Linked DNA regions of Danio rerio. The protein of the gene in region 1 purifies or fractionates together with the protein of each later gene. This does not show direct contact. Links are inferred from orthologs where the notes say so. Each region holds a gene or a part of one and is shown in the gene's direction. Other genes may lie near its edges. The genes, in order: ssrp1b, csnk2a2b, mcm4, chd4b, paf1, chd1 and mms22l.

Region 1 (4,108 bases):
TGGTTGCATGTGCCTCTAAAGCATTTGCACACTTTAGGACCATAGTGATATGGAATGATTTCTGCTTAAAGATGCATGTTAACACACAGAACAAAATACTATCTGACCTGCTTTCGGTGGTGAAGGAGACTTGCTTCTCTTGCCTCCTCTCCTTGCCTTCTTCACAACCTTAAAGGTGTCGGTGATGAGGCCACGCTTTGGTGTCATATCTGAAATAAAGCAAACAATGAGCAATACATATGCTACAGTATGTATGTAACTTCAATCAATGAACTATCGATAAATGGTAATGCATTAAAATGAATATATACTTTGAAAGTGTTTTCAGTTATACAATAATTAAAGAGATAGTTCACACAGAATGAAAATTCCTAAACTTTTGTTCTGTTGCACACAAAAGAAGATATTCTGAAGAATGTTGGAAAAATTATCAAAAACAAGTCATAGGCTGTTTTTTATTTCAACATTCTTCAGATTATCTTGTTTTTGTTTAACAGAAGAACGAATCTCAAACAAGTTTGGAACAAGTGAAGGATGAGTAAATGATGACAGAATTTTCTTTTTTTGGGGTGAACTATCCCCTTTAAGAGTCTTTGTTCCAGTGTTTTTACACACACACACACACACACACACAAAAAAAAAACTATATTTAACTTATTATAATAGTATATGTTTAAGAAAAGGGGTTGGTATCAGTTTATCATGCGTAATTATAAATAATTCACTGTTATTACTTTAGTAAGTACAAGGCACATGTAAACAACAGTTTCAGTATTTTCATTGTTAGTACATGTTAACTAACGTGTTAGCTTCCTAGTTTAAACGTGATGTAGCATAATAAGATATATCAACAAGTTAAATCGAGGTAAATACATAATGTTGTAACGTCAATAATGTTGTAAATACTCTGGCTGTGAGAGCACAAAGAGCAGGACATGCAAATACTATCTTACTAGATGCTTTCGGTCTAAAACATAAAATAAGCAATGCATTCTGTGTAGCATTTCATTTTAATTTCTAAATAAATTGCATTAAAATCACCAGTAAAGGCGATCTTTATTTATTGATCCATCGAACAACAGTGCTTGAAACACTACTGTCAAAAAAGTATATCTGAAATATATTGCATACCTGGACGCTGATAGGATATCGTCATATGATAAATTATTTGTAAATGTTGACAGCAGCAGTCTTCATCAATAAAGCCTTTTAACTTTCCCTTTGTGTTTCGATCGTTTACAAAACAGACTGACGTTCGATAGGCAGGGCTGAGCCACGCACACTGCGCGATTGCGTCATGACGAAGGCGTTCCTGCGCGCCGCACATCTACGCTCACGGGACTCGGCCTTGATCCTCTCGCCGAATAACAGTAATACTCATTCAAATTTCTCGCATATTTCATAACATATGCAACAAAAGCGTTCGAAATGTACTAAGCCTGCTGTAAATTTGCTGTAAATTTGCAAACGTGTCGTTCGTCACAAAAGCCGCTGTTTGATGCCTGAACGCCAGCTTTGCTAGCTTTATTTGTTTATTATTAGACATCATCTCGCTGTGCAGCCACAAAATAATAACACTCGCAAAAGCTTTTCTTAAAGCACAAAGCTAGATTTTTACATCCAAAACAACCTATAATAAAAGTCTACTGTTGACACCAGAGTAAACTGGGAGTTTTCTATCATTCATAACACATTCATATTGCCATTTGCAGTGGAAATTGTATAATGTATAATGTATATTAATAACTGTCGCAGCTTTTAAACGTCACAGGTCCATTCTGTCTACTCTGACATGAGTGACACTTTGGAGTTCAATGAAATTTATCAGGAGGTCAAGGGCTCATGGGTGAGTTAAAAAAGGTTTTGTTCTCTAACTTGAGGTGTTTTTCTATCAAACTCTCAATAAAGTTGACCGACTGTCTTTTCTTGTAGAATGACGGCCGCCTGCGCTTCAGTAAGCAGACAGTGGTGTATAAAAACAGTAAGACCGGGAAGGTGGACACTATTCCGGTCCCTGAACTCACTCAGGCCCAGTGGAGGAGAGTCTGTCTGGGTCACGGCATCAAACTATGGACCAGCACTGGCCACATCTACAAATATGATGGCTTTAAAGACGCAGTGAGTCTGAGATGCAAATTACAGATCAATTGATCACTCAGTTTGATCCGCTGTTTCATTCCAGGTCTTAAATTTTCATCCGTTTCTTTTTGCGCAGGACCTTGAGAAGATCTCAGAATACTTCAAAGACAACTACAAAGTGGAGCTAACAGAGAAAGACATGTGTGTTAAGGGCTGGAATTGGGGCACTGCTAAATTTAATGGTCAGTGCATTCCTGTTGCAACGCTTTTTGTCTGAGATATTCAGTTAAAGTCAGAATTATTAGCCATTCTGAATTATTAGCCCCCCTGTTTATTTTTTCCCCCAATTTCTGTTTAACAGAGAGATTTTCTCAACACATTTCTAAACATAATAGTTTTAATAACTCATTTCTAATAACTGATTTATTTTATCTTTACCATGATGCCAGTAAATAATATTTAACTAGATATTTGTAAGACACTTCTATACAGCTTAAAGTGACATTTAAAGGCTTAACTAGGTCAATTAGGTTAACTAGGCAGGTTAGGGTAATTAGGCAAGTTATTGTATAGTGATGGTTTGTTCTGTAGACCATCGGACACAAATAGCTTAAAGGGGCTAATAACTTTGTCTTTGAAGTGTTTTTAAAAAATGTAAAACTGCTTTTCTTCTAGCCAAAATACAACAAATAAGATTTTCTCCAGAAGAAAACATTATCAGACATACTGTGAAAATTTCATTGCTCTGTTTTAACAAACAGGTTTGTTACTAGAATGGTCAGGCAGGCAACAGTCAACAGGGTAAAACAGATACATACAGAGAATCCAGAGTCGTGGTCATAGAACAGGCGAATGGTCGGAACAAGCAGCAAAGAATCAAAACAAAGAGACAAAGGGTTAAAACACAGCTAGGCTAAACAGGGAGAAAACACGTCGTAATGCTCACAGATAAACAAGACTCAAAAAAGTGTGTGTGTGTGTGTGTGTGTGTGTGTGTAATCAACAGAGAACTGGAACAGGTGTGTGTGAGGTGCATGACAGGATTCGTTGGTCTAGATCGCTGGTGATTGTGACAGTAGTGACCTTAAACACTGTTTTTTAGTATGTTTGTCTTCCAAAAGTATGGAGCAAATAATATGGAAAAACAATCTGAATTTAAATTGTGCAAATTTGAATCACAATAGCAATTGTAATTTAATAAAATTTAATATTAAATGCTATTAAACTGTTTGAATTTGAATTTCTTAACTTGAATATTGAACATCTGAAATTTAAGACAACTGAATTTTTTCAGATTTCTATTGACGTATTTTCAAACTTCAGATTTTTTCGTTCTAAATTTATAGATTGCAGATATTGAGCTTGTGAAAATACAGTTTTGAGTTTTCAAGATGAAGAAATTCAGAGCATCGAATTCAATATTTTAAATTTTAAAACCAGAAAATCAGATTGTGAAATTCAGATTTAGCAAAAAGTAGGTCAGGGGTCATCAACAGTGAAGAAAATTCAGATTGTTTTGGCATATTATTCGCTCCATATCAAAGAACCTTTCGATGAACATATCTTTAAAGCTTTTTAATAATCAAAAGCAAAATAACACTATAAAAATAGGTTTCTTGTATGTTATGTATGGTGATGTGAATCGGTAATTGTAATTAAAATGTTTGATTTTTTTAACTAATTATAAAAATGTAATAAATACAAAAATACATATTATTAAACATGATGTAGCTAATTCAAGGTAAATACATAATGTTGTAGTGTAAATGTTGTAAATACTCAGGCTGTTGGAGCACTAAGAGCAGGACATACAAGATGTCTTACAAGATGTTCTCGCCTCGCCTTTTCGCCAGCTGACTTTATTGTAAGACAAAATAAGCAATGCATTCTGTGTAGCATTTTACTTTCAATTGTAATTACAATTTGCTTTAGATTTTTTTCAATTAATTATAAAAATGTAATAAGTCCATAAAATATATATTATTGTGATACTATTGCACAGTATATAACAGTAATATTATTTTTATAA
Region 2 (4,064 bases), on another chromosome or scaffold:
CCACACAGAAACGCCAACTAAGCCGATGTTCGAACCAGTGACCTTGCTGTGAGGTGACAGCACTACCTACTGCGCAACAGCGTTGCCCTAGAAATTAGTCATTGAAACTATTATGTTTTATTATGTTTCTTTGTGGTCAAGAAAAAGAAACTATTATAGATCTTTTTTATCATTGTATTTACTCAAGAATATTTCAGAAATATTTGGAATTGTTTTTTAACAAAACAATGAAGCATAAGATAGAAATTTGTTTATTCGATGGGCTGTTTTATTCTGATAACGAGAACTTGAACTGTAAAGGACAACATATTTTTAATTTGTTTATGTTAGGAAAATACCAAATACATAAGAAAAAGTGGGCTCAGTGTAAACCAAACTTTTCCCATTTTCTGAATGACTTCAAATTATATATAAATCTTTAATTACAATCACAAAACAAAAAGCACTGAAAACATGTAATGCTCTGAAAACATTTTTCATGTAAATGTGTTTTTATTTATTTATTTTCGATATTTTTCTCTTTCAGAAAGCTATGTGAAATGTATATCTTGTTCTTGTGGCATTAATAAAACCAAAGAAAAAGAAGAATTTGGCCATTTGAATGACATAAAAATAAAACACAATATACTACTACTAATAATAATAATGTAGAGCTTCACGATTTTTGTAGTCTCTCTGGTAAAAAAGTAGGCCTACATTTGGAAAACCATGGACAACAACAAAAGCAAAATTGGTATTCAAATTATTAGGCTGCTGGTGCTTCACACCTTTTTATCGAATCGATCACTTTTTGTTTCAAAAATAAAAGTCACTTGTGCAATGTTTTCTTTATTTAAAAACAGTACAGTAGCAAAAAGATGACTTCACTTCATCAGAGTGTATTGTTTCTCGCACAGCTGGAGTTTTAGTGTTGGCTAAAACTGATTAGCTGAAGTCACAACAACCTTTTTCAATGCATGGGTTATTTTCACAATGTATGATGGCGTAGCATTCAAAATAGTACACATGAGCTCGTATGATCCAAATTCTGGATGCGGTTTGCCAGAATATACCCTGACCATCCTGACCGTCTTTCGAACCACCCGAGCCCTCCCCCTGGCCTGGCTACGGGACTGTTGTTCATGCGTCAGTCTGTTGTGCAAACGGAAGTGTTTCACATATGGGCGCATAGCAACGGACAGACGTGCCCACTGGCCATAGCAACTTGTACTTCCGGATTTTCGATGCTAATTGATAAAGCTACCATGAGCTTCCGGGTCAAACCGTAGCTGTCCGTTTTTTCCTGCAGCAGCACGGGGGGGATTGGTCCGGAAAACCCGAACCCCGCTAACAAGCACAGCACTGCACGGGATTATAAACGTTTTTCGCGATTCCTGCATAACGGCTACGCACGCGACGTCACTGTGACACGGTTTTTAGCGGAGATCAGTTAAACATCGATCTCGAGTCCACCGCCTCCCGTTCTCTCTCTCTCCGTCTCTCTCTCTCTCTCTCTCTAACCAGTCAATATCCAGCTTAGGCACTGGTTAGTTAAATTCTACTCACTCACCGTGGACTATATTTTGCAACGCCACTTACTCCAGACTGAGAGGAATCACATCCTGGCGCTTTTTGTTTTTCTTCTCGGTTCTCTATGCTTTGGATTTAGGGATTTGGGGCCCCTTTGGGGTGGTGGGGGGGTTTAACCCACAATAATTAGATTTAAACAAACCCCCCCGCCTACTATCTATTTTTAAACTTTTCACAAAACTTCAACACATTCAGATCGGAAATAGACGTCGCATTCGCACTGCCGGAGCATTTCACAGACTATCCACCATTCATTTTCAACCCTCTCGGAGCTCCAGGCGGTCAGAGCGCCGCTGACAAGCCGGGGAACGAGCGCTGCTCAGCGGCCAACGCGCTTTATCTTTTCCGCCGCTGCTATCAGATATCGCACGCCTCAATCGGATACAATCACATCTCCTGGCTGGTCTGCCTATAATCGCTGATCTTTCGTTTGTGTGTGTGTGAGTTTGTGTGTTTGCGCGTTTATCTCTTATTTTATTTTATTTTTGCGTGTTTTGGTTTGGATTTGGAGATTTCTCGTACACCCTGAGCCCCGTCACGCGCCATGCCCGGCCCGGTGGCCGGTAGTAAGTCTCGGGTGTATGCCGATGTCAACACTTTGAAGAGCAGGGAATACTGGGACTATGAGGCCCACGTGCCCACCTGGAGGTGAGAGATTAAGCTATAAAAAGCCCGAGTGCATCATCATCCAATGTTGTGTGTCTCAAAACCAGCTGCCTATATCCGTGCGCGTTTTGCGTGTGTCTGCTGCTTTCCTTTGCGCAGTGGTTCACATTGTAGGTTCGCTATCGATCGTGCTGGGAAAGTCATCAATCTGCGATCGAGCAGCCCCTGTTTGAGCTGCTGCTGATGATGATGATGAGAGGATGACATGAACGGATTTACAGATGCAGCGTTAGAGAGAGCTGTGTGTGTGTGTGTCCTCTTCAGCAACCACAGATTTTATGCAAATGCACTCATTCCCTCAAGTGTGCAATGCACATCTAGTAATTACCATTCTAAACCAGTGCACTAATAGAACATTTAGTGGTTTTAATGGTTGGATTCCTCTGAAGGAGTTAATGTGTTTCTGTTTTGCACGGTGCACATATATAATTACAAGCTTGATGAATGCGCTGTCATTATTTATTAGGGTTTTTTTTTTGTGTTTTTTCCCCCGTAGAATATGGAATTATAATACTTTAGCATTTTTCATGTAATTCTACATTTAAGGAACTCATCATGGTATAGTTCACCCAAAATGAGCATTCTGTCACCATTTACTCACGCTTGTTCTTAACATTTATGAGTTTCTCCTGTTGAACACAAGATAACATGTTTTGAAAGAACTCAAAAACTGGCAATATTCATAGTAGGAACTAAAGTACTATAGAAGTCGTAAATTCTTCAAAATATCTTCATTTGTGTCTGTCTGTCTATCATCTGTCGTTCTATCTTTCTGTCATTCTATCTACCGTTCTATATGTTGTTCTTTCTATCTATCTGTCTGTCTTTCTGTCGTTCTATCTTTGGTTCTAGCCATCTAATTTTCTATCTAGCCATATTGATTTATCTATCGTGCAATCTGTCTATCATTATGCCTATCATACTACCTGTCTAATGTTCTATCTATCTATCTATCTATCTATCTATCTATCTATCTATCTATCTATCTATCTATCTATCTATCTATCTATCTATCTATCTATCTATCTATCTATCTATATGTCTGTCTGTCTGTCTGTCTGTCTGTCTGTCTGTCTCTCTGCCTGCCTGCCTGCCTGCCTGCCTGCCTGTCTGTCGTTCTATCTATGGTTCTAGCCATCTAATTTTGTCTATCTAGCCATGTTGATTTATATATTTTGCAATCTGTCTATCATTTTATCTTTCTGTCATCATACTATCTATCTATCTATCTATCTATCTATCTATCTATCTATCTATCTATCTATCTATCTATCTATCTATCTATCTATCTATCTATCTATCTATCTATCTATCTATCTATCTATCTATCTATCTATCTATCTATCTATCTATCTGTCTGTCTGTCCTGCCTGCCTGCCTGCCTGCCTGCCTGCCTGCCTGCCTGCCGTCTATCCATCTATCTATCGTTCTATCTATATCTGTCTGTCTGTCCATTTGTCTATTGCATAATCATAGTATCTCTATCTATCTATCTATCTATCTATCTATCTATCTATCTATCTATCTATCTATCTATCTATCTATCTATCTATCTATCTATCTATCTATCCATCCATCCATCCATCCATCCATCCATCCATCCATCCATCCATCCATCCATCCATCCATCCATCCATCCATCCATCCATCCATCCATCCATCCATCCATCCATCCATCCATCCATCCATCCATCCATCCATCCATCCATCCATCCATCCATCCATCCATCCATCCATCCATCCATAGCATTTTTCATATAGGTCTTCATTCATGGAACTGATCATGTTGACTAACATAACACTTTAATGGTTATTTTAGTTGTGATTCA
Region 3 (3,500 bases), on another chromosome or scaffold:
TCAGGAGAAACATGCTTGGGTTTTGGCATACTGATGAGGAAAACTAGCTGGTTCTAGCTGGATTTGAAAGATCTTTACCATTGTGGACGTCACTTTAAATCATTAAAAGCCCAAAATGTCCTTTTTAACTGTTTGAATTAGATCAAATTTACGGAGTGACTCCCGTACACATCTCACTCTCCAAACTGCATACTGGAAGTCCTCTAAATTGGTCAAGTGACAGTAAAGGCTTTTATAATGTTAAAAATGTGATTCTTTTGAACTTTCATTACATCAAATACTCACAGCATTAATATTTGTTTATTTAATCTGAAATGTTTCTTGAGCACCATATCATCACATCAGAATTAGTTCTGAAGCGTGATGTGACAATTCACAATTTAGCTTTACTTGAAAGATTTTCATATCAGTATGTTGATGTACTTCCAACTGAAATGCAGTATTGAGCAGGAGGCGGGGCTTTCTCTTTGCGCATCATTCCCTCACTAATGGTAAGAGGGGCGTGGTTAAGTACATAAAGCATCAAACAGACGCCACTAGAAAAGCAAATGGCCAAACTAGAGCTGCACGATTTTGGCTAAAATGAGAATCGCAATTTTTTTTTTACATTTTTATTTTATTTATTTTTTATTTTTTTGGGTTAAAACAAAGATTGATTCTCTCACGATTCTGTAGATGTAAAATAAAGGTTATTATGAGTCGGCAATTATTATTGTTTTTTCCCAAACATATGGTAAAACAACAATATTGGTATTATGTGTAGGTCTACTGGTTTCTATAAATAATTCCATTCTACTTATAATAATTCTGATGTTGAATTATGTTTGAGATATAGGCCTATGCATGCAATCATTGACAACATTATTCGACCGTTTAATTCACTGGTAAAATCAACATTATATAGGCTAGAGTAGTTATACTGACTCTTTAAACATTTATTTTCATGCACAACTGTGTGTTCGCTATAAAAGAAAAACATATCAAATGCTTGTCGCAGTCATAACTCTAAAATGTGATATGATCATTTAAATAAAGTGCACACTTTCGGTTTCATGTGCTGTTCATACTTCACACGCGGCACCCAAGCGATCACTCTGTGCCACAAACGGAATATTATTTACAATTTTATTACCCGTTACTCACAGCAAGTTCTGTTCACTAAAGGAGACGCGCAAGTAGGGCACACACCCGCACTATAGTTCACGTCACATTTGATTTCCCGGCCTTGAATACAGCATTATATGAAGACAAAAATGACATTTTTAGGTGAATTATACCTTATAAATACAGTATGTGACTCATTCAACATCATTTGGAGGTGTCCATGTTGCTGAGCAATGTATGTGAAAGAATGAAAAGACTCGTGCAGCCGCCTTTGCTTTTCCCCTGAACTTGAAAATATGATTGGCAGAATCATAGAAATGCTGGATGAAGATCGTCTAGGGCAGGGGTCACCAATCTCGGTCCTGGAGGGCTGGTGTCCCTGCAGTGTTTAGCTCCAACTTGCCTCAACACACCTGCCTGGATGTTTTAAGTATACCTAGTAAGACCTTGATTAGCTTGTTCAGGTGTGTTTGATTAGAGTTGGAGCTAAAATCTGTAGGGCACCGGCCCTCCAGGAATAAGTTTGGTGACCACTGGTCTAGGGGGTCGATTCGAGATTGCGATCTTTTTACGATTAATTGTGCAGCTCTAGGCCAGACTTTGAAGATTACTTGCACGGATTGATTGTTCACATAAAGAATAACACTCAATAGCACTAGCAAAATGAACACATTTGGATTTCACAGACTTTAAATGATAAGAAAAGATCTTTTAAAGAAGACCTTTTATGCAAAAACAGAAACAGTTGTGTGGTAACTGTGTGAATATAACCAGCTTCTAATGGTAAAAATGTGTTTTATGAGTTTAATGGGTTTTAGTTTTTATAATCAAACAATCAACAGAAACACTTTGATTGACATTCATCCTTTGTACATGTCATCAGAGGGGGGGAAGCCCCGCCCATTAGTGACCATCTCTCCCTCATTAGCATAAACAGCCCTGAGTGAGAAGCAGCCGTCTGACATTAGAGTTATCTGCTGCTATGGTGACATAGGTGTTTTTAAACTCCACCCTCTTTTGAGAAGAGTACAGTCTCATTTAAATTTAAAGCGACACTCACAAAAATGACACAATTTGGATCAAAGCCTAAACGGGCAGCTTTAAAGAGTTCTAAAACATTATTTGTGTGTATTTTGAGCTGAAACTTCACACACACATTCTAGGGACATCAGAGACTTATTTTACATCTTGCAAAATAGGGCATAATAGGTTTCCTTTAGGTTTATAATAATAAATCACATTAAAGATTGTTTTGATAATTCTCATTATTAGCGATTTGTGCTTTTAGTCAAATAAGTGTTGCAGTGCTGTGTATGCCTACAAAAACCTAAACTCTGATTTATTAAAATGTGACTTTGTCTAAAGTTTCTAACTTTTTCCATTCACAGGAAGTCATCCCCACTTTCGACATGTCTGTCAATGAGCTCTTCTTCGATCGTTTTCCAGACTCTGTGTTGGAGCATCAGATTCAAGTGCGACCCTACAGCGCTATTAAAACCAGAAACATGCGCAACCTCAATCCTGAAGGTAAGGAACCTGCTGGAAATTAGTGATTTAATGCTCTATACCTGGGTCACGGCACCAAATTGGTGAGATTTTGGAGATTTCAGTCTCTATCAGGGTCACGGCACCAAATTGGTAAGACTTTGGTGATTTTAGTCTTATCACTGGGTCACAGCACCAAATTGGTGAGGAATTTCTTGATTTCAGTCTCTATCCGGGTCACGGCACCAAATTGACCCTTTGCTAAGCTCTGCCTTCCTTAGTTACTGTTAATACGCCTGTCAAGCTTTCGTGCCTGGCACGTCTATTACAATGTGTATGCGCCAGTGTCAGACATTCCCAGGGATATAGTTAGTCCTATTTTGGCGAACAAATGAGATATCCAAGAAAGAAAGGCACAAATAGGCTGCACTATGCATTACAGGGGTATATTCGCGACATAATAGGCAACCAGTTAGAGAATAATTTAATCAAAATTGAAGCTAGCTTAGCCTAGCTTAGTTCATGCAAAGCAGGAGAGGTGAAATTTAAATATAATCTAATAATAACTTATTAAACGGGGATTTCTTTCTTTTTAGCCAAAAAGCCTGATAGGCTAATTGTTGTGCAATGACATAAAGCGTTACTAACCGACGAGGAAACACGCATGGACAGTGCTTCTACATAATTCAGATTCATAATTTGGGAACAATAACCCATGACCTATTCGCTTTTTATATGACTACTATGGTGAAGGCTTAAACAGAGCAGTTCTCATATCAAGCGAAAGAAAAAAAAGAAGACAGCTGTGAAACATAACCGACCTTGTATTTTTGTAGGAAACAATTTAGATCTGTTTAGGGTAAGTGTGAGTTATTGCCGTCAGTCTATCACTGATTGTGTCAGGAATATCA
Region 4 (2,438 bases), on another chromosome or scaffold:
AGGAGAAAAAGAAAGCAGTGAAGCAGAGGTTCATGTTTAACATCGCTGATGGAGGTTTCACAGGTACGATGGGAATTTACTGTGTGTGTGTGTATGTGCTGGCCAATTTCGAATCAATGAACTCTCTGTTTTTCTCTCTGCAGAGCTGCACTCACTCTGGCAGAATGAAGAGAGAGCCGCTACAGTCACCAAGAAGACTTATGAGATCTGGCATCGTCGCCATGACTACTGGCTCCTGGCTGGGATCATATTGTATCCTTATTGGTGAAATTACATTTATCGTTTTGGTAATTAGTGCTTGATTCACTAAAAGGAGGTAGACATATATTTTATTGTTTGTGTTATTTAGAATACAGTCCCAGGTCGAAGTTTGGAAGCACACTCATTCCTAATTATTGCATTTTTTAATAACGCAGGCTATTAAAACTAAACTGTATGACAAATAAAAGTATGAAGTCAGAAGTCGGGAAACAAACCATTTTTTTTTAATAAAGAAATTTTTTATTGAAATTCGAAAAATTGTGTACACATGTAGTGATTAAATCAATTATTGCCATTATAAACAATCTGGTAACACTTTACAATAAGGTTCATTAGTTAATGCATTTACTAACATTACCTAATAATGAACAACACGCGTACAGCATTTATTAATCATAATTGAACATTTACTAATGCATTATTAACATTCAAGTCAATGCTTGTTAACATTAGTTAATGCACCATGAGTTAACATGAACTAACAATGAACTGCTGTATTTTCATTAACTAACATTGACTAATATGAACAAATACAGTAGTAAATGTATTGTTCATTATTTGTTCATGTTAGTAAATGCATTAATCAACATTAACTAATGAACCTTATTGTAAAGTGTGACCAACAATTTATTTGATACTTTAAGCTCTGTTTTTATAAAGAAAATCTTTTACACTTTAACCCTTGTGTTCTGTTGTGGATGTTTTCATCCACTTTGGGGTGACTTTAAGTCTTAATTTAGCCACAACTTTCTCACTTTCAGCAAATGGATTGATTTGGAAAAATGCCAAACAATACACTATGGTTAATACTACCCTTTTGTTATAATGGTGGCTGTTTTGCTCATTTGCTATTTTTTGATCGCAAAGCCATGACACAATATATAATCATGCATTCTTGATTGTTGCTGATGTTCCTGTTGGAAAGAGGTAAAATGTTTAATTGTTACTGTTTTTTTTTTTTTTTAATCAGTTGCAGTGCAAAAATGCATAGTTTCTGGCATCTATATATGGAGTACAGTGTGTGTGTGTGTGTGTGTGTGTGTATGTGTGTTTGAGAAAGAGAGACCTTTGCGCACTTATCTTTATATGTCTGAGAAAATCTAAATAAGCAACTCTTCTCTAAAAACATAGTAAGTGTATTTACTCTTACTATATATATATATATATTTTTTTTTCGTGTGTGTGTTTTTTTTTACTCTATTTACACTCATTCTTCTACTCAATAGTATTCCATATAAAAGCCAGACACTTTTTCTTAACGGTGCCAACTGATGGTCAACAGTAAAAATTACACATTTTACCTCTTCCCAACAGGAAAAACCACCAACAATCATGAATGCATGATTACATGCTGCCATCCCTTTGCAATCAAAAAATGTCTTTATAATGGAAGTCAGTGTGGCAAACACAGTCATAAACAATAACGAAGGGGTAGTCAATTTAAAGAGTACAAGGGTTAACAATTTATATTTACTGAACTTAAACACTAAAAAATGAACTACCCTGATCCAGTTACTATGACCATTTATGTAAAGCTGCTTTGACAATCTACATTGTAAAAGCGCTATACAAATAAAGCTGAATCGAATTGAATTGAATATTTCAACAAAGCTGTGGGTTTCAACTTATTATATATCTCATATGTAACTGCTGCTAGTTTATTTTTGAATAATATTCATCTTCAAACTGAACTATTTTCAAAACTATTGTCCTTAACCTTTGTACTATTAGCCATGGTTATGCCCGCTGGCAGGATGTGCAGAATGACCCGAGGTTCGCCATCCTCAATGAACCGTTTAAAGGAGAAATGAGCAGAGGGAACTTCCTCGAGATTAAAAACAAGTTCCTTGCTCGCAGGTTTAAGGTCAGAGATGTACAGAAACTGCCCGCTAAAGTTTGCCCAGAGGTGCATTTGTTAGCTCCTCTTTCAACAGGACCATTTGTCTCTTTTAGCTGTTGGAACAGGCTCTGGTGATTGAGGAGCAGCTCAGACGTGCTGCGTATTTAAACATGACTGAAGATCCTTCTCACCCCTCAATGGCACTGAACACGCGCTTCAGTGAGGTGGAGTGTCTGGCAGAGTCACACCAGCATCTCAGCAAGGAGTCTATGTCAGGAAACAAGCCTGCTAATGCAGTTCTACACAAAGGTACAGCAATCCCCATAACAATATAGTG
Region 5 (3,950 bases), on another chromosome or scaffold:
ACAGTGATTGATCTGTTGGGGTTAATTTTACAGTTGCTATGGTAACAACAACAATTACAGTAATTATCTGTTGTGGTGATTCTGCAGTTGCTATGGTAACAACAACAACTACAGTAATCTGTTGGGGTTGATTCTACAGTTGCTATGGTAACAACATCTACAGTAATTAATCTGTTTTGGTTATTCTACAGTTGCTATGGTAACAGAATTATAGTATTGGTCTGTTGTGATTCCATGGTTGCTATGGTAACACGACAACTACGGTAATTAATCTGTTGTGGTGATTTTGTAGTTCCTATGGTAACAGCAACTATAGTAACTAATCTGTTTTGGTAATTCTACAGTTGCTATGGTAACATAATTATAGTATTGGTCTGTTGTGATTCCATGGTTGCTATGGTAATATGACAACTACAGTAATTGATCTGTTTTGGTGGTTCTTCAGTTGCTATGGTAACAATTATAGTATTGGTCTGATGTGATTCTACGGTTGCTATGGTAACACGACAACTACAGTAATTAATCTGTTGTGGTGATTCTACAGTCGCTATGGTAACATAAGAGCTACAGCGACATGAGCAAATGAGCCATTACTGTGGTTTTCTAGAGCTATACAGTATATTATACTACAAAACACCACAGTTTGCTGTAGTAAAAACTAAAGTACGCTACAGTACCTATTACAGTTTATCCGTTCACCCTAGTTGATACTACAGCACGAAAGAGTTGTAACTAATATAATACACATAAATTATAACCATTTAGTTGAAAATCATGTAAATGTAACAAATGTTCAGCTCTGATTATACTGTAAAATTATGTTTTTATTTATGGTTCATATTCTATTCGAATAATAATTTTTTTAATAGGGAGTAAAGTATATAATACCACGATTTAATAACAAAACTTTGATAATGTTTAAAAGTTTACATATGGGTTTAGTTTTACGCGAACTCACTGAAACCACACGCCTCTATGATGTAATAAATCCTCAAAACAGTTTCTACTTCATGGAAACAGTTTTTGAACGTGTTAATACATGATTATCGCTTTAATTTTGAGTCCCAGAGCGGTGAGTTTTGCTCAGGCTGTGATCGGGCAGCCGCTCAGGGTCCTGCTGCTGCTCTCGTCTGCTGGCCGGAAGTGACACACAGACTCGCGCGCCGCTGTTTTGTCGATAAACTGATCAGAAGTCTTCATTTTTGTGTGTGTGTCTTTGTTGTTTATCGATCATCAGTGCTGACGGGACGCGTGTTTTTGCTCCTCCATGGCTCCTACCATACAGACGCAGGCGCAGCGGGAGGACGGACACCGGTGAGAGGAATAAACCATAATAAACACGCGAGCGCGCACTCTTATCATCAGCAGAGCAGTTAAACTGATGTACACACACACACACACACACACACACACACATGTAGAGCTGTCTAAGAGCACGCTAGCTGATATACACACATGTAGAGCAGTCTAACAGGACACTGTGCGCTTATGAATGTCTCCTGATGGTATGTTCATGTGTGTTTCTGCAGGAGTTCAGCACACAGGACTGTTCCAGAGAGGTAAACTCACCACCGCTATTCAGCTCATTGATCAGTGAAGGCCGTCTGCGTGATGTTGGGGGAAATACAGTGCGAGATGTTCTGTCATTTATTTATTTAGTTTTTTTCTTTATTTATTTTGCGATATGAACACTAATACGCGATTAGAGTACTCATGAAATCAAAAGTAGCCTTGTTGATGTTGTTCGCTCGCATTGCTGGTTCTGTGCTGAACAGTTCCTCTGTGCAGGTCATTCAGAAACAAGTTTGCGGCTTGTAATCTAAAATTGAAATCTGGAAATTCTCAGATTGCGTCAGTCTGAGGTGTGGGGTGGGGCTAACATTCTTAACCACGCCCCTTTCACTGTTATCACTGACAACAAATGGTGAGGAGGAGGAGTCTGTTAGGTTGTAATAACTCTCCTCAAACCTTCTTCCCAATGTTTCTGAATGAAACGCCTACTTTACCACATCCAATCAGCTCGCTGTAGAGAAAACAAGCCACGCCCACTGTTCACTACTTTAATATTCAATTTCTTTGCTCCACAACCAATGACTGTAAACGATATGGGTTGCGTCCGAAACCGCATACTTCCATACTATATAGCACGCTAAAATCAGTAGTGTCCGAATTCATAGAATTGGAAAATCAGTATGTGAGAAGTGCTCGGATGACTCTACTTCCGGGCAGATTCTGGAGTGCGCATCCCAGGCAGTTTTGGGAATTACATCTTTTGATTTTAGTCGTGAAACAGAAGCACTTTTTTTAACATAATTTTTGAAAAAATTACTCAATATTTAGCTAAGATTTATAATGGAGGCATGCTTTTGTGATGTGCTGCAGGATTGTGTGTTTAAGTGACATCTGACTCAGCCAATGGTGTGAGGGTGGGGCGGGGCCATCTGCCTGTCTGGCCAATGGCTGACTGTGGGAGAGCTCTGTAATGCCTTTTTCAGTCCCTGTGTGTGTGTGTGTGTGTGTGTGTGTGTGTGTGTGTGTGTGTGTGTGTGTGTGTGTGTGTGTGTATGTGTGTGTATGTGTGTGTGTGTGTGTGTGTGTGTGTGTGTGTGTGTGTGTGTGTGTGTGTGTGTGTGTGCGTGTTGCAGGTCTGGTGTGGTGTGCAGAGTCAAGTATGGAAACAGTCTCCCGGACATCCCGTTTGACCCCAAGTTCATCACCTATCCGTTTGACCAGCACAGGTGGGGTTCTTACACACACACACACACACACACACAGCGTTCTGAAGGCCTGGGCTTTGTGTGGTGACTGTGTGTGTGTGCGTGTGTGTGTTTCAGGTTTGTGCAGTATAAAGCCACATCCCTGGAGAAACAGCACAAGCATGAGCTGCTGACCGAGCCGGATCTGGGCGTCACCATCGACCTCATCAACCCAGACACATACCGCATCGACCCCAACAGTGAGAACACACACACACACACACACACACACACACACACACACACACACACTTTAACATGAAACTTTAAGTCTGAATGTTTTTGATATTAAATGGTCGTCTAATATTTAACGAGCTTTTCTGTTCAGCAATATGTAAAGCGGTTGACCTGTGTGTGTGTGTGTGTGTGTGTGTGTGTGTGTGTGTGTGTGTGTGTGTGTGTGTGTCTCAGTTCTGCTGGATCCTGCTGATGAGAAGCTGCTGGAGGAGGAGATCCAGGCTCCATCCAGCTCAAAGAGGTAAGAGAGAGAGAGAGAGCTATCAGCTGACCTTTGACCTGTTTTGTGTGTGTTTGTGTGTGTGTGTGTTCATCTCCATGTGTTCCTGTGTGTATGTATATATAAAACCTGAGTGTGTGTTTTTGCATGTATGTTTGCGTGTGTGTGTATAACCTGTGTGTGTGCGTGCATGACTGTTTCTGTGTGTATGAATGTTTGAGTGTGTTTGTGTGTGTGTGTGTGTGTGTATAAATGTTTGTTTGTTTGTGTGTGTGCATGAATGCGTGTGTGTGTATGTGTGTTATAGGTGTATTGTGTTTTGTGCATAGTACGTGTCTCTTCATCTGCATGTGTTTTGGTGTGTAAATATTGATGTGTAATACGTGTGTGTGTGTGTGTGTGTGTGTGTGTGTGTGTGTGTGTGTGTGTTTCTGATCTCTGCATGTGTTTGTCTGCATTTGTGTGTTATCTACATCTGCATGTTTAATGTGCGTGTATGTCGTGGTGTATATAATGTGTGTACGTGTGTGTGCAATGTGTGCCTGTTTGTGTATATAATATGTGTGTGTGTGTGTGTGTGTGTGTGTGTGTTTAGGTCACAGCAGCATGCGAAGGTGGTGCCGTGGATGAGGAAGACGGAGTACATCTCCACTGAGTTCAACAGATACGGCGTCTCCAACGAGAAGGTGGAAGTCAAGTGAGTGACACCTGTCTGACCTTTGACCTCTCTGACATTA
Region 6 (3,500 bases), on another chromosome or scaffold:
GTCTTCGAATCTGTGTGTATTCCTACTGTGAAATTATCACATCAAACATGACGTGCTAACATGGATGCAGTTGACTAGAGTGAATCTGATTAATGTTAGCTTTAACTATCAGGCACCTGTAGAGTTTACGCGTTCGAGTAAAACATATACACATAAAATGGGCCGGGTGCTTTATAAAATGAATGAAAGTTAAGCCTGTGAGAAAAAAGAATCAAATCAGCTGGATGCCCTTCTGAATCTTTCACTTCGAAGACATACTGACTACGCTTACATGGACATTTGTAATCTAGTTATTTGCTGTAATAGACACTAATATAATTAAGGTGTTTACGTGACGTGCTTTCATGTAAGATTTTCGTGTAATTTTTGGTGACTTTACCTGCAGTTCGGCAGTTTCACATTCACTCATGAACACTTCATCCATGCCCCTGTGACAAACTGGGGTATAAGACATCAATAAGGAGTAAGGACTGGTGAGAGTGTTATGAGTTTAATAACGCACGCCAAATGGAAAGAAAAAACTTCCACATTTCGCAATGTGTGTGTGTCTGCGGCCATTTACTGACAGCCGCATGTGTGGATCTTGTTGGAAAATATGGCAAAGTCCTACATGACGGTAATAGTTTGATTGCGGTGTTTACTTCAATAATGCCACTAATATCTGCATACTCCACATGTCTTAATTCCATTTTTGTTTAGTTCAGTTTTGACTTCAGTCGGATTAAAGTAATCAAAAATGGCTGTTTGGAGCTTATGTAGGCCTACAGTTCAAAATTCATGTTTAACTGAATAAACAGTTAGTAAACACAAGTACACCTTATTGAACATCATTTATTTTCATCACCAATAATCATAGTAGAACAGATTCTCAAGCAGTTTGTGAAGCATTTTGGAAACAGGAGATGAGCCCCTGGTCTAATGCGCCACCTGGCTTGAAGAACCCATTCTCAAAGACTTACCTTTAGTCATTATTTGGGTAGCACACATTCTCAACACCTTCGGCAGAATTCAAATGAACCATTTTAATCTAGATTTTATCCAAGATTACAGTGAGATTAATCTAGATTAAAAAATTAGTCTATGCCCACCTGTAGTATGTATATGTATTTATAAATAAGCTCTGTATTGTTATGGATAAGCTATTTTTTTCCCCCACCTATTTATCACTATTTTTTACCTCGCTGTACCTTGTCACTGTATCTTTACCAAAGTTAACATGCCTAGGATAAAAGACATTTTAAGAGATTTGGCTTCCAGATGACCACTTCAAATGCTGAGTGTAAAAGTATGCAATATAAAAGCTACATATACATTTTGTTAAACTATCTGATGATGAAACCAAACATGGTAGAGGGAGCACTTCACAGCCATGCAAACAATAAGTACTATCCACTGTTATTCTCATAGTAGCTATGTTTTTCATTCATTAGATGTCCTGGAGATTCAGCTTTTTAATCAGTGAAAGTTGTGGCTTGAAAGGTGCTGTATGTAAGTTTTTGACTCGTCTGAAGCATAAATTAACCGTACGTTTGCAGATTTTTAAGAAACATGCTAGTTGAACCTTATTGTTTATCATTTAAACAATGCAGAAGTCAGTTATTTTGCTTTGAAAATGTGAGTTTACGTTGTTGGTGTCGTCAATCTGACATCCTGCTAGGTATCTGACAACACCTAGTTCAACCACTGAGTGTTAAACTTGCATGCTGCGCCTTTTAAATGTGAACTCTGGTTATTGTATGTAACATTTTTTTCCTCTTGTAGTCATTTTTAGGAAATGTAAGCTGGGCGTTCATTGGTGTAGACGAGGCCCATCGGCTGAAGAACGATGACTCTCTGCTCTACAAGACTATGATAGAGTTCAAGTCCAATCACAGGCTCCTGATCACTGGCACACCCCTCCAGAACTCCCTCAAAGAGCTCTGGTCTCTGCTACACTTCATCATGCCTGAAAAGTAGGTGTTCTCTCATGATTTCAGTCAGCTTTTGTTATTCAGTTCCCAGTGTAGCCACAGGCTTTATTTTAGAAGTGCTTCTACACGCAGGCGAACTTTTCATGTGGTATTTCTTAAGCTCTTTTAGTCTTTTGTGTTTATTTTTAAGTGGTTAGTGCTGAGAAACCCTAGAGATAAGAGCTAACCTCTTTCTTGTATTGGTTTAATACAGCATGCAAGTCAGATGTCACTGATATAAACCATCATGTTGGCAGGTTTCACTCGTGGGAGATGTTTGAAGAGGAACATGGGAAAGGCAGGGATTCGGGCTACACAAGCCTTCATAAGGAGCTGGAGCCATTCCTGCTGCGCAGAGTAAAGAAGGATGTGGAGAAATCTCTGCCTGCCAAGGTGGAACAGATCCTCCGGGTGGAGATGAGCGCGGTTCAGAAACAATACTACAAGTAAGACAACCACATTCATATAGAATACAGTACAGAGAGACATTAAAGGTGATTCATCAGATGCTTATTTTACACAAGTTGATATGATTCTTTGTGGTCTTAATGAAAAGTAAAATTCTCTGGTAATGGTAAGAGCCCCTATTATACATTAAAAAGGTTCATATTTTGATTTTGGGGGTCTCCAACAACAGGCTGATATGCATGCAAGGTCAAAAAACACTTTCATTGTCTTATAAAATGCATTTATCTTTACATAATTATCCCAGAGACTCCCATATGATTCGTTCAGTGATTCATTTGTTCCCAAACCCCTCCTTAGTGCGATGCTAATCTGGACTGATTGGACTGATGACAGTCTGTTGCGATTGGTCGGCAGCGTTCAGCGTGAGACAGAGTGAAATGTCCAGCACGGCTTGTCAACAATATTGAAGTAGTGCAGAGTGTATGTGTGAGCTAGGGCTGGGCGATTTAGCAAAAAAAAAATCTATTTTTTTATAAAGTTTGACCGATTTCGATTTTTTTTTTTTTTTTTATTGTGTTACTAATCTTCTCAAAACATTACAACAACATGACTGAAGTAACATTCTCTTTAAAAGTAACTTGAAAAACCATCTGGTGAAGGAACATTGTATTTTTAATGGCCATGTCATACAGAAATCGGTCAAGGTGTAAATAAATGTAAAACAAATTCACAAGTTCAAAAGCGTTGCTGAAGATTTGATTAAGAAATATTTTTGTAAATATTGCACTTGCAGGAATACAGAGGTATTTTTGCTAGTTTTGCTGAGCCTAGGAAATATTGGCAGTCAGCTCCGCTTTAACTTTGTCTTCTGATTGAATGACAGGTTGTAATGCTGCTGCCTTTTTTTTAAAAAGATGCAGTGGAAGAAAAAGGACTGAACATGGATACTGTAAAGCCTCATTTAACCCAATGCGTGAAGTTGTGGACGTATAGGAGGAGTAAATACAAGCACCAGATGTGTGTCTAATATAAATTAATATATTTAATCTATTTTTCTTTTATCCTCTTTTAAATAATGATCACTTGATGCGATTTGCTCCTCTCTATTATGCTGGCTGATCTGTCTGGTTTTTAACTAGGTCC
Region 7 (3,416 bases), on another chromosome or scaffold:
GACCCCAAAGCTGCGATGGCAGTGTTCCTCAAGGTACAGTCTCAAACCGCAAGCTCTAATATATAAGCCTTGCTGTATTTCATCCTGTAAATACTGTGTTTGTTGTTTGTCAGGCTGTGGGCCGATCCTACTGTGAGCTCCAGCTTCTTTCTGAGCGTTCTTCAGCAGTGTCTCGAGCATTGGAGTATGTAGGAGATATCCTTAAATACATCAAGCCTTACCTGCAGAACAAGAGCCGGGAGGGCCTACACCTAGCGTACTGGACCATAGGTCAGTGTCTTTTGACATGATGTAATTTTGATTAGTTTCATTTTAAATAGCATGTGAATGTGCACGTCTGGTGTGCGATACTTTCAACTGTCATGTGCGCGACATGTCGCGGCGCATCCGGTGTGTGACATCCTTTAAAGAGCATGACACAAATATAAAGTAGAATTCAACCAATCAGGGGTGCGTTTCTCAAACAACAACGCAACTAAACTACCATAGTACGATGCATTGTTTGGGAAAAGAACGATGTAGTGACGTGTTTCCCAAAATGATAGTTGCTTTGTCGCAGATCCATTGTTTGAATCATGTTAGTTATAACATAAAACATCTATAAGGACACTCTAAATGGGGTGGTAACAACTTCTTTGGAGAAAAAACAAATAAATGTTGTGCAAGTTATATTGTTTTACACGTACATGCGTTAAAAAAATTCCAGTGTTAGTTTTGGGAAAATCATGCTCTCGTTTTCCATAATTAAAATATATGTAAACAGCACATATAGACCATATCTTTCCATTACAAATACTATTGAAAATATATTCTATTCTAAAACATAAAACCAAAGCGAACATGTATTCTACTCTCATATATAAACCATTAATGGTTATAATTTACAGTTGGCTATTTATTAAGAAATGAAAAAAAAATCCTCCTTATAATAATAATAGTTTATAATAATTATTATTATTATATTATTAAGTAGGATATTGTTTTATTTATGTATTAATTTATTTATTTTGTTTAACTTTGACACATTCAAACCACTGCAGATATGTTGTAACCAACAGGCCTATGTCATATACAGTACAGATACATTTCCTAATTAATAAATTAAAACCATTAGCGTATGCTATATATTTTTGTTTTCTAAAGCTTTGGAGGTGAAAATTCTGCATTTAAATAATAGGACATCTATAGTCTTCGTCATGAGCCTTGGCTGCGTTCAAAATGGCATAAATGGTTTCGTGCACTATGAATGGGTTGCAATTTTCAATATGAAGATCGCTATAACTAAACTGTTAAAAATACATTTAAAGCAAATGACACCTAAGGGAGATTACTTGAATGCTTGTTTATCATTCTAAGTTTAAATGATGGAATGTTTGAAAGGAATAGGGTATAGGGAAGATAACTGGGACTGTAACACAACCAGGAACTATGCTTCTAACTACAGCTCTAGAGGTGTAATTGAAAGCGTACAAGTTTGTGAATGTTCATTGGAATGATGGATTTGGGAAACAACAAATCAATGAACTATAGCTGCGTCCCAAATCGCATACTTATGCACTATTCTACGCCATTTTGTAGTATAAATAGTGTAAGTAGTGTGTTCACACTGAAAACTCTAAAAATAATTAGTGCACTTTAATTACCCGGATGATGCACTCATTCAGCCGCTAAAATGAAGTGTGTAATGATGGACACTTCACGCACTCAACGACCGCAGGTTTGCTTACGTAGCGGAAGGGTCGGAGCTATCGGACGCACATGTTGAATAACTTTATTTTTATTTTATTATTATTATTTTTTTATGGATGGTGAAAGCAAAATTCTCCTACGAGAGTGATTATAGCGCCTCCCGATGGTGAATGCAGCAATACTCACGGCAGGTATTATTTGATAATTCTTTGATAATTGAATTTCCACTTAGTAAAAAAACATTAGTGTGCCATTTGGGACACCACTACATACATATACTATCCTGTTGAGTGTGTAAGTGCATAAGTACATAGTGCATGAGTGTATAGTGTGCCATTTGGGACGCAGCTTATGTTTGTAACGATTGAACTTGTGAACTAGCACTTGTGGCTAGCAATGGTTTTCATAAACGCACCCAAGATTATGACTTATTGCGCTTTTTTTCTCTCATGAGTATTTGGTACATCTCAAACCTGTGGTGGCGAACTTCATGTTTACTATAAACTTATTGTGACTGTACATTTTTCAGGCTGTTTGGTCAAGCACTGGAGCCACCTATTGGCCACCTCTAAAGCCCAGCAGCTGCTCTTCCGCATTGTAGATGTGCTTTTACTGCCCCACGCTCTCCTCCAACAGGACACTGCTGCACACACTCAAATGCTGTCAGCCCTCAAAGACAGTCTGCCTATGTTCCTGCAGGTTAATGCGCCTCCTAATCCAATACTCACTTTATACTCAATCTTTTAGGAAATCCTGAGGTCATTGTTAATTGTGATCTTAACTGAGATTGTGTTGGCATCTCTAGGGTTTGTCCGTGGCAGTGAGCGTGTCCCATTCTCAGGGGGCGTACCTGAAGCAGCAGCAGCACAGTGTCATTTCACAGTACCTTAGCCGCTTCCTCCCAGCCACACCCTCTACTGGAGCAGTGGTCAATCATCCTGTCCTGCTGGCGGCCTGTGAATCTACACCCAGTCCACAGGGTGAAAGACTCAGGAAGAGCATTCTGCATGTGCTGAGGTGCAAGTCTTTCCTCTTCTTTTTTAGCATGATTTCATGTTTACACCTAGAGAAACAGATGTCCAGATTTTCAACAATAGTTTCTGTTTCTGCAGAGAGAACTTCCTCCAGTTTAAAGGTCTCGCTCCTCCTCCTCGACTTGCAGCTGTTCTCTGTTTTCTGTTGGAGCTCCTGAAAAGGAACAGTGACAGAGATCCTGCCCTGCTCACGATACCCCTTCCTTCAGTGCTGCGCTGTTTAATGCTGGTGAATGAACCACAAGGTAGGCAGGGGACATGCCAGATGAAGGTCCATTCACATGATGTTTTTGAAAAGCGTGTTAAACTTAAAGTCATTGGTTCTAAATTTAGCACTCAAAAGCTGAAAAAAAGTCTCTGTAAGTGATTCTAGTACTACAATTCCTCCTGTGAAATGTTATCTTTTAGAAATCACTAGATTTGACAAAATCTCACAAATTTTCATCAAGACTGTCAAATCCGATATTTGTAATTCTTTAAATTATATTTCAATATAGCTCAGGCTATTTTATCAAGATATGACACTATATTGTTTAAAGTCTACGAAAGTGGGCACATAATTTGTTAAGTTTTATGTCTTTCTGTTGTATTTATATTGTGTATTGTCTCCAAAATAAATAAAGAAAAAAGCTGCTCGCGGCATAACAGAGCTGTAAAGGAGCGCTTTTGCCCGGTCTCACACACATACAGGCA

The links.
Region 2: the proteins of ssrp1b (region 1) and csnk2a2b purify together in Homo sapiens (affinity purification with western blotting; 3 studies listed by BioGRID and IntAct, with this or other methods). This does not show direct contact. The link is inferred for Danio rerio from reciprocal best matches to the Homo sapiens genes SSRP1 and CSNK2A2.
Region 3: the proteins of ssrp1b (region 1) and mcm4 purify together in Homo sapiens (affinity purification with mass spectrometry; 4 studies listed by BioGRID and IntAct, counting the BioPlex papers as one, with this or other methods). This does not show direct contact. The link is inferred for Danio rerio from reciprocal best matches to the Homo sapiens genes SSRP1 and MCM4.
Region 4: the proteins of ssrp1b (region 1) and chd4b purify together in Homo sapiens (affinity purification with mass spectrometry; 3 studies listed by BioGRID and IntAct, with this or other methods). This does not show direct contact. The link is inferred for Danio rerio from reciprocal best matches to the Homo sapiens genes SSRP1 and CHD4.
Region 5: the proteins of ssrp1b (region 1) and paf1 fractionate together in Homo sapiens (co-fractionation; 3 studies listed by BioGRID and IntAct, with this or other methods). This does not show direct contact. The link is inferred for Danio rerio from reciprocal best matches to the Homo sapiens genes SSRP1 and PAF1.
Region 6: the proteins of ssrp1b (region 1) and chd1 purify together in Homo sapiens (affinity purification with mass spectrometry; 3 studies listed by BioGRID and IntAct, with this or other methods). This does not show direct contact. The link is inferred for Danio rerio from reciprocal best matches to the Homo sapiens genes SSRP1 and CHD1.
Region 7: the proteins of ssrp1b (region 1) and mms22l purify together in Homo sapiens (affinity purification with mass spectrometry; 3 studies listed by BioGRID and IntAct, counting the BioPlex papers as one, with this or other methods). This does not show direct contact. The link is inferred for Danio rerio from reciprocal best matches to the Homo sapiens genes SSRP1 and MMS22L.

The regions. Positions count from the first base shown.
Region 1 is NC_133176.1:47,969,413-47,973,520, forward strand, and holds the start of ssrp1b (FACT complex subunit SSRP1), read left to right. Parts: upstream 1-1,308; 5' UTR 1,309-1,370; intron 1,371-1,755; exon of another isoform or gene 1,756-1,771; 5' UTR 1,772-1,792; coding exon 1,793-1,846; intron 1,847-1,932; coding exon 1,933-2,118; intron 2,119-2,215; coding exon 2,216-2,321; intron 2,322-4,108. Other genes in the region: pold4 (DNA polymerase delta subunit 4), read right to left, coding at 108-209, 1,132-1,156. UniProt on the Homo sapiens protein: Component of the FACT complex, a general chromatin factor that acts to reorganize nucleosomes. The FACT complex is involved in multiple processes that require DNA as a template such as mRNA elongation, DNA replication and DNA repair.
Region 2 is NC_133200.1:14,587,696-14,591,759, reverse strand, and holds the start of csnk2a2b (casein kinase II subunit alpha'), read left to right. Parts: upstream 1-1,264; 5' UTR 1,265-2,113; coding exon 2,114-2,217; intron 2,218-4,064.
Region 3 is NC_133199.1:39,267,970-39,271,469, reverse strand, and holds part of mcm4 (DNA replication licensing factor MCM4), read left to right. Parts: intron 1-2,492; coding exon 2,493-2,631; intron 2,632-3,500. UniProt on the Homo sapiens protein: Acts as a component of the MCM2-7 complex (MCM complex) which is the replicative helicase essential for 'once per cell cycle' DNA replication initiation and elongation in eukaryotic cells.
Region 4 is NC_133191.1:34,957,595-34,960,032, reverse strand, and holds part of chd4b (chromodomain-helicase-DNA-binding protein 4), read left to right. Parts: coding exon 1-63; intron 64-143; coding exon 144-252; intron 253-1,992; coding exon 1,993-2,125; intron 2,126-2,214; coding exon 2,215-2,410; intron 2,411-2,438. UniProt on the Homo sapiens protein: ATP-dependent chromatin-remodeling factor that binds and distorts nucleosomal DNA. Acts as a component of the histone deacetylase NuRD complex which participates in the remodeling of chromatin.
Region 5 is NC_133190.1:51,599,024-51,602,973, reverse strand, and holds the start of paf1 (RNA polymerase II-associated factor 1 homolog), read left to right. Parts: upstream 1-1,150; 5' UTR 1,151-1,267; coding exon 1,268-1,314; intron 1,315-1,529; coding exon 1,530-1,559; intron 1,560-2,645; coding exon 2,646-2,738; intron 2,739-2,834; coding exon 2,835-2,956; intron 2,957-3,167; coding exon 3,168-3,234; intron 3,235-3,808; coding exon 3,809-3,910; intron 3,911-3,950. UniProt on the Homo sapiens protein: Component of the PAF1 complex (PAF1C) which has multiple functions during transcription by RNA polymerase II and is implicated in regulation of development and maintenance of embryonic stem cell pluripotency.
Region 6 is NC_133185.1:7,058,563-7,062,062, reverse strand, and holds part of chd1 (chromodomain-helicase-DNA-binding protein 1), read left to right. Parts: intron 1-1,761; coding exon 1,762-1,952; intron 1,953-2,206; coding exon 2,207-2,395; intron 2,396-3,500. UniProt on the Homo sapiens protein: ATP-dependent chromatin-remodeling factor which functions as substrate recognition component of the transcription regulatory histone acetylation (HAT) complex SAGA. Regulates polymerase II transcription.
Region 7 is NC_133191.1:35,484,937-35,488,352, reverse strand, and holds part of mms22l (protein MMS22-like), read left to right. Parts: coding exon 1-33; intron 34-113; coding exon 114-270; intron 271-2,218; coding exon 2,219-2,388; intron 2,389-2,494; coding exon 2,495-2,706; intron 2,707-2,801; coding exon 2,802-2,968; intron 2,969-3,416. UniProt on the Homo sapiens protein: Component of the MMS22L-TONSL complex, a complex that promotes homologous recombination-mediated repair of double-strand breaks (DSBs) at stalled or collapsed replication forks.